Linked DNA regions of Tribolium castaneum. The protein of the gene in region 3 binds, or shares a complex with, the protein of the main gene of each other region. Links are inferred from orthologs where the notes say so. Each region holds a gene or a part of one and is shown on either strand. Other genes may lie near its edges. The genes, in order: Tfb5, Polr2B and TfIIFalpha.

What was found.
Region 1: TfIIFalpha (region 3) and Tfb5 share a complex: the UniProt entries of both Homo sapiens proteins name them as parts of the TBP-based Pol II pre-initiation complex. The link is inferred for Tribolium castaneum from reciprocal best matches to the Homo sapiens genes GTF2F1 and GTF2H5.
Region 2: TfIIFalpha (region 3) and Polr2B share a complex: the UniProt entries of both Homo sapiens proteins name them as parts of the TBP-based Pol II pre-initiation complex. The link is inferred for Tribolium castaneum from reciprocal best matches to the Homo sapiens genes GTF2F1 and POLR2B.

The regions. Positions count from the first base shown.
Region 1 is NC_087399.1:6,497,726-6,501,089, reverse strand, and holds Tfb5 (general transcription factor IIH subunit 5), read left to right. Parts: upstream 1-1,160; 5' UTR 1,161-1,267; coding exon 1,268-1,302; exon of another isoform or gene 1,303-1,349; coding exon of another isoform or gene 1,350-1,731; intron 1,732-2,192; coding exon of another isoform or gene 2,193-2,419; exon of another isoform or gene 2,420-2,425; intron 2,426-2,446; coding exon 2,447-2,633; 3' UTR 2,634-2,718; downstream 2,719-3,364. Other genes in the region: hydroxyacyl-coenzyme A dehydrogenase, mitochondrial, read right to left, coding at 1-562, 617-730; meiotic nuclear division protein 1 homolog, read right to left, coding at 1,350-1,731, 2,193-2,419; heix (ubiA prenyltransferase domain-containing protein 1 homolog), read left to right, coding at 3,143-3,364. UniProt on the Homo sapiens protein: Component of the general transcription and DNA repair factor IIH (TFIIH) core complex, which is involved in general and transcription-coupled nucleotide excision repair (NER) of damaged DNA and, when complexed to CAK, in RNA transcription by RNA polymerase II.
Region 2 is NC_087395.1:24,235,265-24,238,864, reverse strand, and holds the start of Polr2B (DNA-directed RNA polymerase II subunit RPB2), read left to right. Parts: upstream 1-1,210; 5' UTR 1,211-1,349; coding exon 1,350-1,368; intron 1,369-1,426; coding exon 1,427-3,585; intron 3,586-3,600. Other genes in the region: uncharacterized protein Rsod, read left to right, coding at 1-115, 165-720, 765-865. UniProt on the Homo sapiens protein: Catalytic core component of RNA polymerase II (Pol II), a DNA-dependent RNA polymerase which synthesizes mRNA precursors and many functional non-coding RNAs using the four ribonucleoside triphosphates as substrates.
Region 3 is NC_087400.1:9,147,551-9,151,384, forward strand, and holds the start of TfIIFalpha (general transcription factor IIF subunit 1), read left to right. Parts: upstream 1-1,038; 5' UTR 1,039-1,168; coding exon 1,169-1,192; intron 1,193-1,247; coding exon 1,248-1,438; intron 1,439-3,834. UniProt on the Homo sapiens protein: TFIIF is a general transcription initiation factor that binds to RNA polymerase II and helps to recruit it to the initiation complex in collaboration with TFIIB. It promotes transcription elongation.

The DNA.
Region 1 (3,364 bases), on a different chromosome or scaffold from region 3:
TGATGGCTTCTGCTATATAGGGCACCAGAAGCCTGTTAACAATAAACCCGGGGGTGTCCTTGCAGGTGACGCAGGTCTTGCCCACGGCTTTGCCCCACGCCATAAAGGCCTCGTACGTCTCCTGCGACGTCTCCGGAGTCCTAACAACCTCCAAAAGCTTCATAACGGGCACGGGATTGAAAAAATGCAGCCCCCCGAACCTATCCTTCCTCTTCGTAACGGAGGCAATTTCGGTAATCGAGAGCGAGCTCGTATTTGACGCAAACATGGTTTTGGGGGGCGCGACCTCATCCAAATTTTTGAACAATTTGTGCTTAACATCCATGTTTTCAACAATCGCCTCCACGACCAAATCGCTGTCTTTCACAGCTTCGGCAATGTCGGTGCACCCCTTAATCCGGGCCTGCGATTCGCTCACGAATTTATTAGCGGCTTGCGGGTCATCCTTGTGGAGTTTTTTGGCGACTCGTACCAAGTTTTTCGCAATGCTGTCTTCGGCTTTTTTGATCAAGTCGGGGTTGACTTCCACGATGGTCACGTTGTGGCCGGTTTGCGCGGCCACCTAAGCAAGGGGGCGAATGTTAGGTTAGGTTCGGGTGGTTTGGGGTACACTTACTTGGGCGATGCCTGAGCCCATGAGGCCGCCCCCGATCACAGTTACGTTTTTTATAACTGCGTTCATGGGGCTTGAAGTTGAAAGGCTTCGCTTGATGAACAGGTTTAGGGCCATTTTTTCGCGTTCGGTTACGAGTAAAAAGTGGTGTGTAATGCGGATTTTGTTTGGTTTATTAACGATACAATAACTAGGTGAAAGTCCAAGTTTGTAACCTATGATCGACTCCCACCGCTACGTTTGTGTACTTTTTAATCATTTTATCGTTTATGGCGAGATTAGGGCTCAGAAGTGAAAATCATCGTGCCGATGGTTTAAAAATAATCCGCTTTCGATAACGAGTGCGACTTTTGTACCTGAATTTATTTAGGTATTATGTAATAAAAGTGCAACATCATTCAGTCAAGTGGTACACAGGAGGGTTCCAAAATGGGGCTATATAGCAATCCCTGTTATCAATTTATCCACTTTTTTCAAAGAAATACTTGAAAAAAAATATAATTTTGGGGAAATTTGTGATTATGCAATCAGCAATACACGTGTGAGAGGTTAGTTGCATTCTATAAGTTGTCAAATGTCATAAAAACACCAACTTTTGTAAGAAAAATAATTTATTTCTGATTTAAAAAAGTACACAATTCTCGATTATCAACAATGGTTAATGTAATGAAAGGCGTTTTGGTGACCTGGTAAGGCCCTAACAATTTTTTTGAGTTTTTGTTTGACATAACCTCAATCATGCCAGATAATCCAAATCTCCGGGAATCCCAAACTGCTTATTTAAAACCTTATCTTCCATCATAAACTTCCTTTTGCACCATGATTTGACCGCGAAGATATTATCAGTCCATCGATTTGCTGCTTCTTTTACCGGTTTTATCTCACTTTGCATTAATTTCAAATTTTGAGTATCTGTGTGAGATTTCGACAGAGATTCGAATTTTTCTTTCTGTTTTTCCAGTTTTTCAATTTCCTTCAAAATCTGGCTGTCGTCCCAATTCTCTTTCCCCACCTGCGCTTTTTCCATAGTTTCGTCAATTAATTTCAATTTTTTTGTTGACGATTCTAATTTCGTTTGAAGCTCGTTAAGTTTGCGTTTTTTCGCGTTAAGTAATTTGCTGTAATTAGGATAAAACGTGTTTTTGGCCCGTCTATACCGTTTTTCGGACACTCTCCCAGTTATCTCAGTGATCTCCGTTATTATAAGAGATACGAGGTCGGTTAAATTAGGGCAAAGTTGCGCATTTTTATGCTGAACAATTATTTGAAAAAAAAAATTGTAATTTTCGTTTTTATTTTTTCAAGTGAAAACCAAAAGAACTAGACGTAGGACTTTTTCGGGCACTTTTTACAAGGAATCTAAATTTGTCATCGGATTTTCCTAGGCTTGCTTGATGTCAGAGTTACAACACTTAACTTCGTTTTTTTTATGGGAAAAAAATAAAAACGAAAATCATTTTTTTAAATTTCTCTCAATAATTCAAAAACTAAAAATGGCACATAAAATTTTCTTTCAGAAATTGTTTTGCATACAAATGCACAACTTCTCAAAAAAACGGACACCCTGTATAATATTTACCTGGGAAAAGCCCAAAAGTAGACGGAACTCCCGATCTTATCCTTATCAACAGAACCATCATCCACCAAAGCTTGGACCACTTCTTTCACAGAATTCGCCGTAATTCCTTTCTCCTTTGGCGCAATTATTTCCAATTCATTCATTTGATAAAAATCCCCAGTCTCGTGAAACAATTGCAACATCCTAGCCTTTTTCTCCTCAAAACTTAGACCTTTTTTCTTGAACATTTTCCCCTAAAAAATGCGTTGTTTCAGTGACCAGGCCATGAAACAATTCCTTTTGTATTTAGATGAGACTACAAAACTAGGCCGAAAATTCATAATTCAGGACTTGGATGAAAACCACTTATTTATTTCAGCCGATATTTTAGAGACATTACAGGCAAAAATCGACGATCTGATGGACCAAATTAGCTTCCCAGTCGCCGAAAAAAGCAATTAATTTTTTGTAATTTGCAAAAGTGAGGTTATGTCATATTGATGTGTGGTCATTCGAATTATAAATAAAAAGCGCAGCATTTATATAATGACGTGTTTTGCTATAAATAATATCGTTGCGGGCCGGTTTTCGTCCATACTTACGCAATAAGGCACTAATTAACTGTTTTTTCAAATTGTCGGTACAAATAATACAGTTCCCTGTAAATTGGAAGTGGCTACAATTACGCTTCTTTGATAACCGACTATTCTACAGTTGTTACGCCATCACGAACATTTTTACACACAAATGATAAGAATAGAATTAAGCAATAGATAACGGAAACGTGTCACTAATTATAATTTTTCCCTGATTTAATAGCCGCCGTGACGTAACCACAGCCACATGTCAAACGTCACAATTGACTTCTTTGGTTATGTTCCGTTTGTCAAAGTTATAAAACGAAAAAACGCGTTTCTCGGCCACAAATCATCAAGTGTGTTAAGTTCCGTGTCAGTGCATTTACCCCCATCATGACGGTGCCCACCCCCAGCGAGAAACTCCTCACCAATGGCTCCACCACTCCCAAGCGCCAAAACGGCCAAAAATCGGGCCTCATGAAGCTATCAAGTTACGTGCTAGCCTTGCGTCCGTGGTCCCTCAGTGCCAGTCTCATGCCCACACTGTTGGGCTCCACCATAGCGTACAAATACCCCGGAGTTACCGATTTCAACTACGCCACCCTCCTGCTCACA
Region 2 (3,600 bases), on a different chromosome or scaffold from region 3:
CATTTACGTGAACCCAGTGGGCGTGGACGCGGCCGTCAAGACCCAGAACACGCGGTGTGTGGCCGGGGGCTACATCTGGAACCCCTATTTCACCCAACTGGCCGACCCCCTCAATGTATATTTTGCTTTTTTTTTAATTTTATAATATAATGTTCTGGTTTCAGGGTGATCTTTATCGGCAAGAGTGCGGGCCTGAGAACCCGCTCAGGTGCCACGTGGGGGACCTGTCGGCCCGTTTGGGGACCATCGACATCGGGCTCCAGCGCAAAGTCTTCACCGATGCGAATTTCCCGCTCGAAGGCGACGTCACGGCAATCGGGCGCTCCATCGTCATCATGAGCCCCAACAGACGTCCCGAACGTTACGCCTGTGCCAATATCGAGCCCGACTATGACATAATCAAGTACGCAAACATCGAAAAGCCCCCACGTTTTGTCCTGTCGCAGTTTATCGAAGAAGTGCGCGAAATTCTGGGAATCCCCGACTGGTTTTTGACCGTAGATTCGCGCAAAACCAAGTCTTTGCACAGCGACGCTTGCGTCCAGCTTTTGCTGCATTTTAAAGGACCGCTAGCTAACCGATTAGAGCAGGATTTCAGCCGATTGCTGGCAAGTGGGCGTTTAGACACCCCCACATTGTACATTCCAGGGTTTATTAATACGAAACGTAAGGTGAAAATTGCGTACAAGCAGTGTGGAGTACAAGACCCCAACGAGAAGAGTAAGTTTATGGATTAGGCGACAAAAAATGAGTGTATTTTGCAGGTAAAAAACGGACCGGATTTTTCTTTGCACGCTCAGGAAGCAACCCAGCCAAATTTGCTCACAGTCTGATTGTAGTGATAGTTTTAAGCTATTTATTGTAATGATATGACTGTTCCTAATAAAAAAGTAATATATTACCATGGAGTTTGAAATTTAGCGCCAATAATGAAGTCACGTGGTGCAATCCACAAAAAATCAAAAACGCAATATAATTAAAAAATTGGACTTGTTACCACTTACCTGACCTTTAAGTCACATTACAGATAATTATTAAATATTTTTTTGGTCGAATAGTGTAATTTAACATCGTATCTTGAAAATCTGGAGACTTTTTTGTTGTATGGTTACGTAACACTTCAAGGTCATTGCAGGAAAATAAAAAATTGGGCCGTATTTAACAAGTTTTTTATTTGTTTTCCAAAGTATTGTGTTTGGGGCTACCCCCCGAACATAAAATATTAATTTATTTCACAAAATAAGGGTTTTCTTGGGGTCCCCATACAAAGTCAACTGACACTTGACAGACGCTCAAAACTTGTGTTTTGTGCGTCTCATTTGTGCCCCATTTTTTGCAAATAATCAGCAATGTATGAACAAGACGAAGGTACGCAATCCCCCTTGAGTAGCCCCCGAGCCATTTGTAACAAAAACCGGCTTTTCAGACCAATTCGACGATGAAGAGTCTGAAGAAATCAGCTCCGAGTTGTGGCAAGAGGCCTGCTGGATCGTCATCAACGCCTATTTCGACGAAAAAGGCCTCGTCCGGCAACAACTGGACAGTTTCGACGAGTTTATCCAAATGTCGGTGCAACGAATCGTCGAAGACTCGCCCCAAATCGACCTCCAAGCCGAGGCACAGCACACAAGCGGCGAGCTTGAAAACCCCTCTCGGTATTTACTGAAATTCGAGCAGATCTACCTATCCAAACCGACCCATTGGGAGAAAGACGGCGCCCCCTCGCCCATGATGCCCAACGAGGCCCGCTTGCGCAACCTGACCTACTCGGCCCCCTTGTACGTCGATATCACCAAGACCATAGTCAAGGACGGCGAGGACCCCATTGAGACCCAGCACCAGAAAACCTTCATCGGGAAAATCCCGATTATGCTCCGATCCACGTACTGTCTCCTCAACGGTCTAACCGACCGCGACTTGACCGAACTCAACGAGTGCCCCCTTGACCCCGGCGGCTACTTCATCATCAACGGCTCAGAGAAAGTCCTAATCGCCCAGGAGAAAATGGCCACGAACACCGTCTACGTCTTCTCGATGAAAGACGGGAAATACGCCTTCAAATCCGAAATCCGCTCCTGTCTCGAGCACAGCTCGCGCCCCACGTCCACCCTCTGGGTCAACATGATGGCACGTGGGGGCCAGGCGATCAAAAAGGCCGCCATCGGGCAACGAATCATCGCGATCTTGCCCTACATCAAGCAGGAGATCCCCATCATGATCGTGTTCCGGGCCTTGGGGTTCGTGGCCGATCGGGACATCCTCGAGCACATTATTTACGACTTCGAAGACCCCGAGATGATGGAAATGGTGAAACCGTCCCTGGACGAAGCGTTCGTGATCCAGGAACAGAACATCGCACTCAACTTCATTGGGACCAGGGGGGCCCGGCCGGGCGTCACCAAAGAAAAGCGTATCAAATACGCGCGAGAGATCCTCCAGAAGGAGATGCTGCCCCACGTTGGAGTGTCCGATTTTTGCGAGACGAAAAAAGCCTACTTTTTGGGGTACATGGTGCACCGGTTGCTCCTGGCGGCTTTGGGGCGCCGCGAGCTGGACGATCGGGATCACTACGGTAACAAACGACTGGACTTGGCGGGGCCCCTGCTTGCGTTTTTGTTCCGTGGGTTGTTTAAAAACTTGATGAAGGAAGTACGGATGTATGCCCAGAAATTTATTGATCGGGGCAAAGACTTTAACCTCGACTTGGCCATTAAGACTAAGTTGATTACGGACGGGTTGAGGTATTCTCTGGCGACTGGTAACTGGGGGGACCAGAAGAAGGCCCACCAGGCCAGAGCCGGTGTCTCGCAGGTGTTGAACCGTTTGACTTTTGCCTCGACTTTGTCGCACTTGAGACGTGTTAATTCGCCCATTGGACGTGACGGGAAGTTGGCGAAGCCCCGACAGTTGCACAACACGCTCTGGGGGATGATTTGTCCGGCGGAGACACCAGAAGGGGCGGCTGTTGGTCTGGTGAAAAATCTGGCCCTCATGGCGTATATTTCGGTGGGGTCGCAACCCTCTCCAATTTTGGAGTTTTTGGAGGAGTGGTCGATGGAGAATTTGGAGGAGATTGCGCCGTCTGCCATAGCCAACGCGACCAAGATTTTTGTTAATGGTTGCTGGGTGGGAATTCACAGGGACCCCGAACAGTTGATGGCGACGTTACGCAAGTTGAGGAGACAGATGGATATTATTGTGTCGGAGGTTTCCATGATTCGGGATATTCGGGACCGGGAGATTCGCATTTACACGGATGCTGGACGGATTTGTCGGCCGTTACTAATCGTGGAAAATGGGACTTTATTGTTGAAGAAGCGCCACATTGATATGTTGAAAGAGAGGGAATATAATAACTACGGGTGGCAGGTTTTGGTGGCTTCAGGGGTTGTCGAATATATCGATACTTTGGAAGAGGAGACTGTGATGATTGCGATGTCTCCGGACGATTTGAGACAGGAGAAGGAATACGCGTATTGTACCACTTACACACATTGTGAGATCCATCCAGCTATGATTTTGGGTGTTTGTGCCAGTATTATACCCTTCCCGGATCACAACCAGAGTCCCAGAAACACATATCAAGTATTTGTTTTGGTG
Region 3 (3,834 bases):
ATTTTGAACTTCTTGAGTAAAAATGGTGAACAAATCTAACTTTTCTTTTAATCAATGGCACAATTTTATTGTATGTTTGGAAGTTTTTTCGACTAAAAATGAAACTATTGAGTTAGAATTCTGTTTTTTTGCGATTATTTCAAAAACTGTAAGAGATAGATCTATGAGATGTTAATAAGAGTAATAAGTGTAGCTCTAATAAAATTTTCATGCACTTCAAAAAAATAATAGCTAATGTAATTTATATTTTCGATGATTAACAATTATTTCGATGATTAATTATTATTTTACAATTTTATCAACCTTATTAAAAAAAATTATTCGGTAAAATGCGACGTTGGTGTTTTTACAGTTTTGAAACAGCTAATACCTACTTATTTAGTGAAGTAATAAAAAGGAAATTGACAAAAATTATTAAATATAGAAAATATCTAATCAGTTTGAGTTTTGGGATTATTATTTTACACAAAACCTTAAAATGTTTACGATCTTAGTCATACCTACATTTCATCATGTATTTCCTGTGGATATTTTTTATAAAATAATAGAGCAATATCGGATTATCAATTTCATCCGAATTGCTTTAAAGTTTTTGGAAGTATTTTGTATTATTAAAATTATTTTTGGAATTTATGAAATTGCTGGAATTATTTGCGGACTTTTGGAATAATTTGTGAATGACTGGAGTTTTTTGGAATTATTCGAGATTATTTGAATTCCTTAGGACTATTTGTAATTTCAGGAATTACCCACTAGGGAATTATGAAAATTACAGGAATTAATTTGGAGTTTATACAAATTATTGATATTTCGAAGTTTTTGGTTGATTTTTTGAAATTACTAGAATTTCTGTCGATTTTTTTTGGAATTAAAGTTAGTTGTACATTTTTTTTTAAATTAAAAGCTTCCCGGTTTTTATGGAATTTTATATTGTAATAAATGTTTCTGTTTGTTAATAAAAATTAGAAAACAATAAAAAAAATACAACTGACTCCACGGTTTTTGTCACGTTAGAAAGTATCTGCCCTAAGTATGGCACCTGTGTTACCGACATGGTGACCTAACCTCTAAACGAACTTGTTTGACAGCTGTTTTCTAAATAGGTCTATTTTTTAATTTGAGTTTAATTTAACTAATAAATTTTGCAATTAATTGTAATTTGGTTAAAATGGCGACAAGTTCAGCCGCCTCTGTACGTATAAAATAACAGTTTTAAGTTTTCACAAATTAATTTTATTCTGTTCAAGCAGAAGCAATCACAGGCCCCAGCCGGTGTTAAGGAGTATACAATCAAAGTACCGAAAAACGTCCAGAAGCGATACCATGTAATGAGATTTAATGGAAATCTTGAAGTGGATTTTGCCAAGTGGACGCAGGTCAAAATGGAAAGGGAGAATAATTTGAAAGAGTACAAAAGCGTCGAAGAAGAACAACCAAAGTAATACATAACATAACGCACTTAAATGATCACTGATAACAGCCCAACAAATTGCATAATAAAAAGTATCTAAAATTTATTAACAAACGTCAAGATGTCATGTCATGTCAAGATTAACAAATGTCAAAGATACGTCAAATTCATGGTCGCCTTCGATAAACCCATTGTCCGAAAATTAGTATTGTTTTTATTATTTTTTTAATTTATTTATCTACGTTTAACCTAATTAGTTTTCAAATGAAACAAACAAAAAACTAATACACAAAAGTTGTCATTTTAGCAAAATCTTAAAAAAATTCATATCTTCGTTATTATAAAAGATACACATTTGAAACAAAGATATTATACTGACACTTTTTTACAGAGAATTTAATGTTATCAGCAGTTTATTTTAACTTTTAGTTTAGCTGCAATAACATAAAGTTTTATTTTTTTAAATAGGAATCATAGGCGGCTGTGATATTTTTGAAAATACTATTTTTCTCTGATTTGATATATCTATTTGTGTAACACATTATTTTTAAATATTTAAAAAAATATAACATTCCGCTTTTTCTTTATAGTAGGCTATGAAAAAATTTTGGATTTTCAATTGAAACTGTGAAAAATATATTGCCCAACAAGTATTTATGATTTATTGATTTTTAAACATTTTTTACAGAGAATTTAATAATGTTATTAACGTTTTTTTTAATCATTAGTTTAGCTGTAATAACCAGTGTGAGGAAATTTTATGGGCGAAGGTTAGTGCATGGGCGCGCGCTTGCAGTCAGATAAACCTTTAAATCGAAATGTTGTGGAACAGCTTACATTGTTGATATAAGTTAGGAAAGAGTATTAAAAAATGTTTAGACAAAGAATTTTTTGTTTCAACCCTCGCGAAGGGGCTGAAAAGACGTTTTAGCTAAAAATTTGCAAACACCTAAACTTGGACACATTTTGCGTTTACATACTCACATCTTCCTTCTGGATAAAGCTAGAAACTCCGTTTTTTTGCAAACAAATTTTCAATAAATGCAGATTTATACGTAGTTTAACAAGGTAGAGTTTTGATAAAGGGAAACCAAAAAAAAAATACATTTTCTTGTAACGTTGCATAATTGTGTAGTGAAATTTTCGAGATGCGAGAAAGTTTTTTAATTTAAAAGATAGACTCCCACATAATCGAGACGAAATAAAGCTAATACTTGAAATCAATTTTTGGTGCAAGAATCATTTCGTTATCTGTAAGACTCACCAAGTTATTGCAATTTAAAATTACTGCAAAATGCGCCTGAGGTGAAACCGAAGCGTATTTCCCTCTGAAGCGTGTTCATCGCCTTTGACAACATTTCGAGAGCTAAAAATCGTAATTCGTAAATAATTAAAAAATAATTAATGTCACTTATCTATTAATATTATACCTTTACTTTTAACCGCCCTAACTCTCAGTTAATTTTAATAATATCTAAAAAGTCAAAAGAACATTTTTATCTCATGTACTTATTTAAAAAGCATATAAGTGACCCAGTAAAACTAAATTGTAAAATTGTAATTCATTTCAAAGTATTCTTTGGTGTGACATTAATATTTTTTTAATTATTTACCATTTTTAGCCCTTGAAATGTTTTCAACCACACCACGTTTCAAAGGGAAATACGCTGCGATTTCACCTCGAGCACATTTTGTAGATAACTAAATAATCCTTCTTTAAAGTCCTTTTTAAAAAAATATACAAATCGTAACGTTTCTGACGAATCAACAATTGTAGTTACACGCTGTGGTACTTGGTTAGAAGCAAATTTCTAAAAATTTTAATCAATTAAAATCATTTGTTTATTGCTTTAAACGACGATGCACAAAGCATTAAATAATGTAAAACTTTAGTTTTAACCACAAATTTAGTTTCTCAACTTAATTTTATTGAAAATAATTTTTGAAATATTCCAACTACGATCAAATTTCTAGAAACGTAAAATTTTAAATTATCCATTACAGTTGAGAAATTTGAGTCTACGTTGATAGAGTTAAAATCTGTAGAATGGTCATTACAAGATAAATTTAATGCAAAAATTGACGCAGTTGTTACTAGAAATCCCGATTTTCTAGTTTTAAAACAAATAGCGAATAATGTACCACCTTCGACATATTTTGCATTAGCACCAAACTTTTTATTTACTCCTGTAACCAGTTGTGATGTAGAAAGATCTTTTTCGAAATTCAAAGATATTTTAACCGCAAAACGGAATCAGTTTTCGAGAATTTAGAAAGAATCACAGTTATTCAAGCGTATTTCTCAGAGAAAATGATTAAAATATTTTTAATTAGTTTTTAATTTTAATTTCCACTGAATTAAAACGAAACATTTTCAAAATGTAATAGTGACTTACGCTCCACTGTATTAAACATCTTTATTG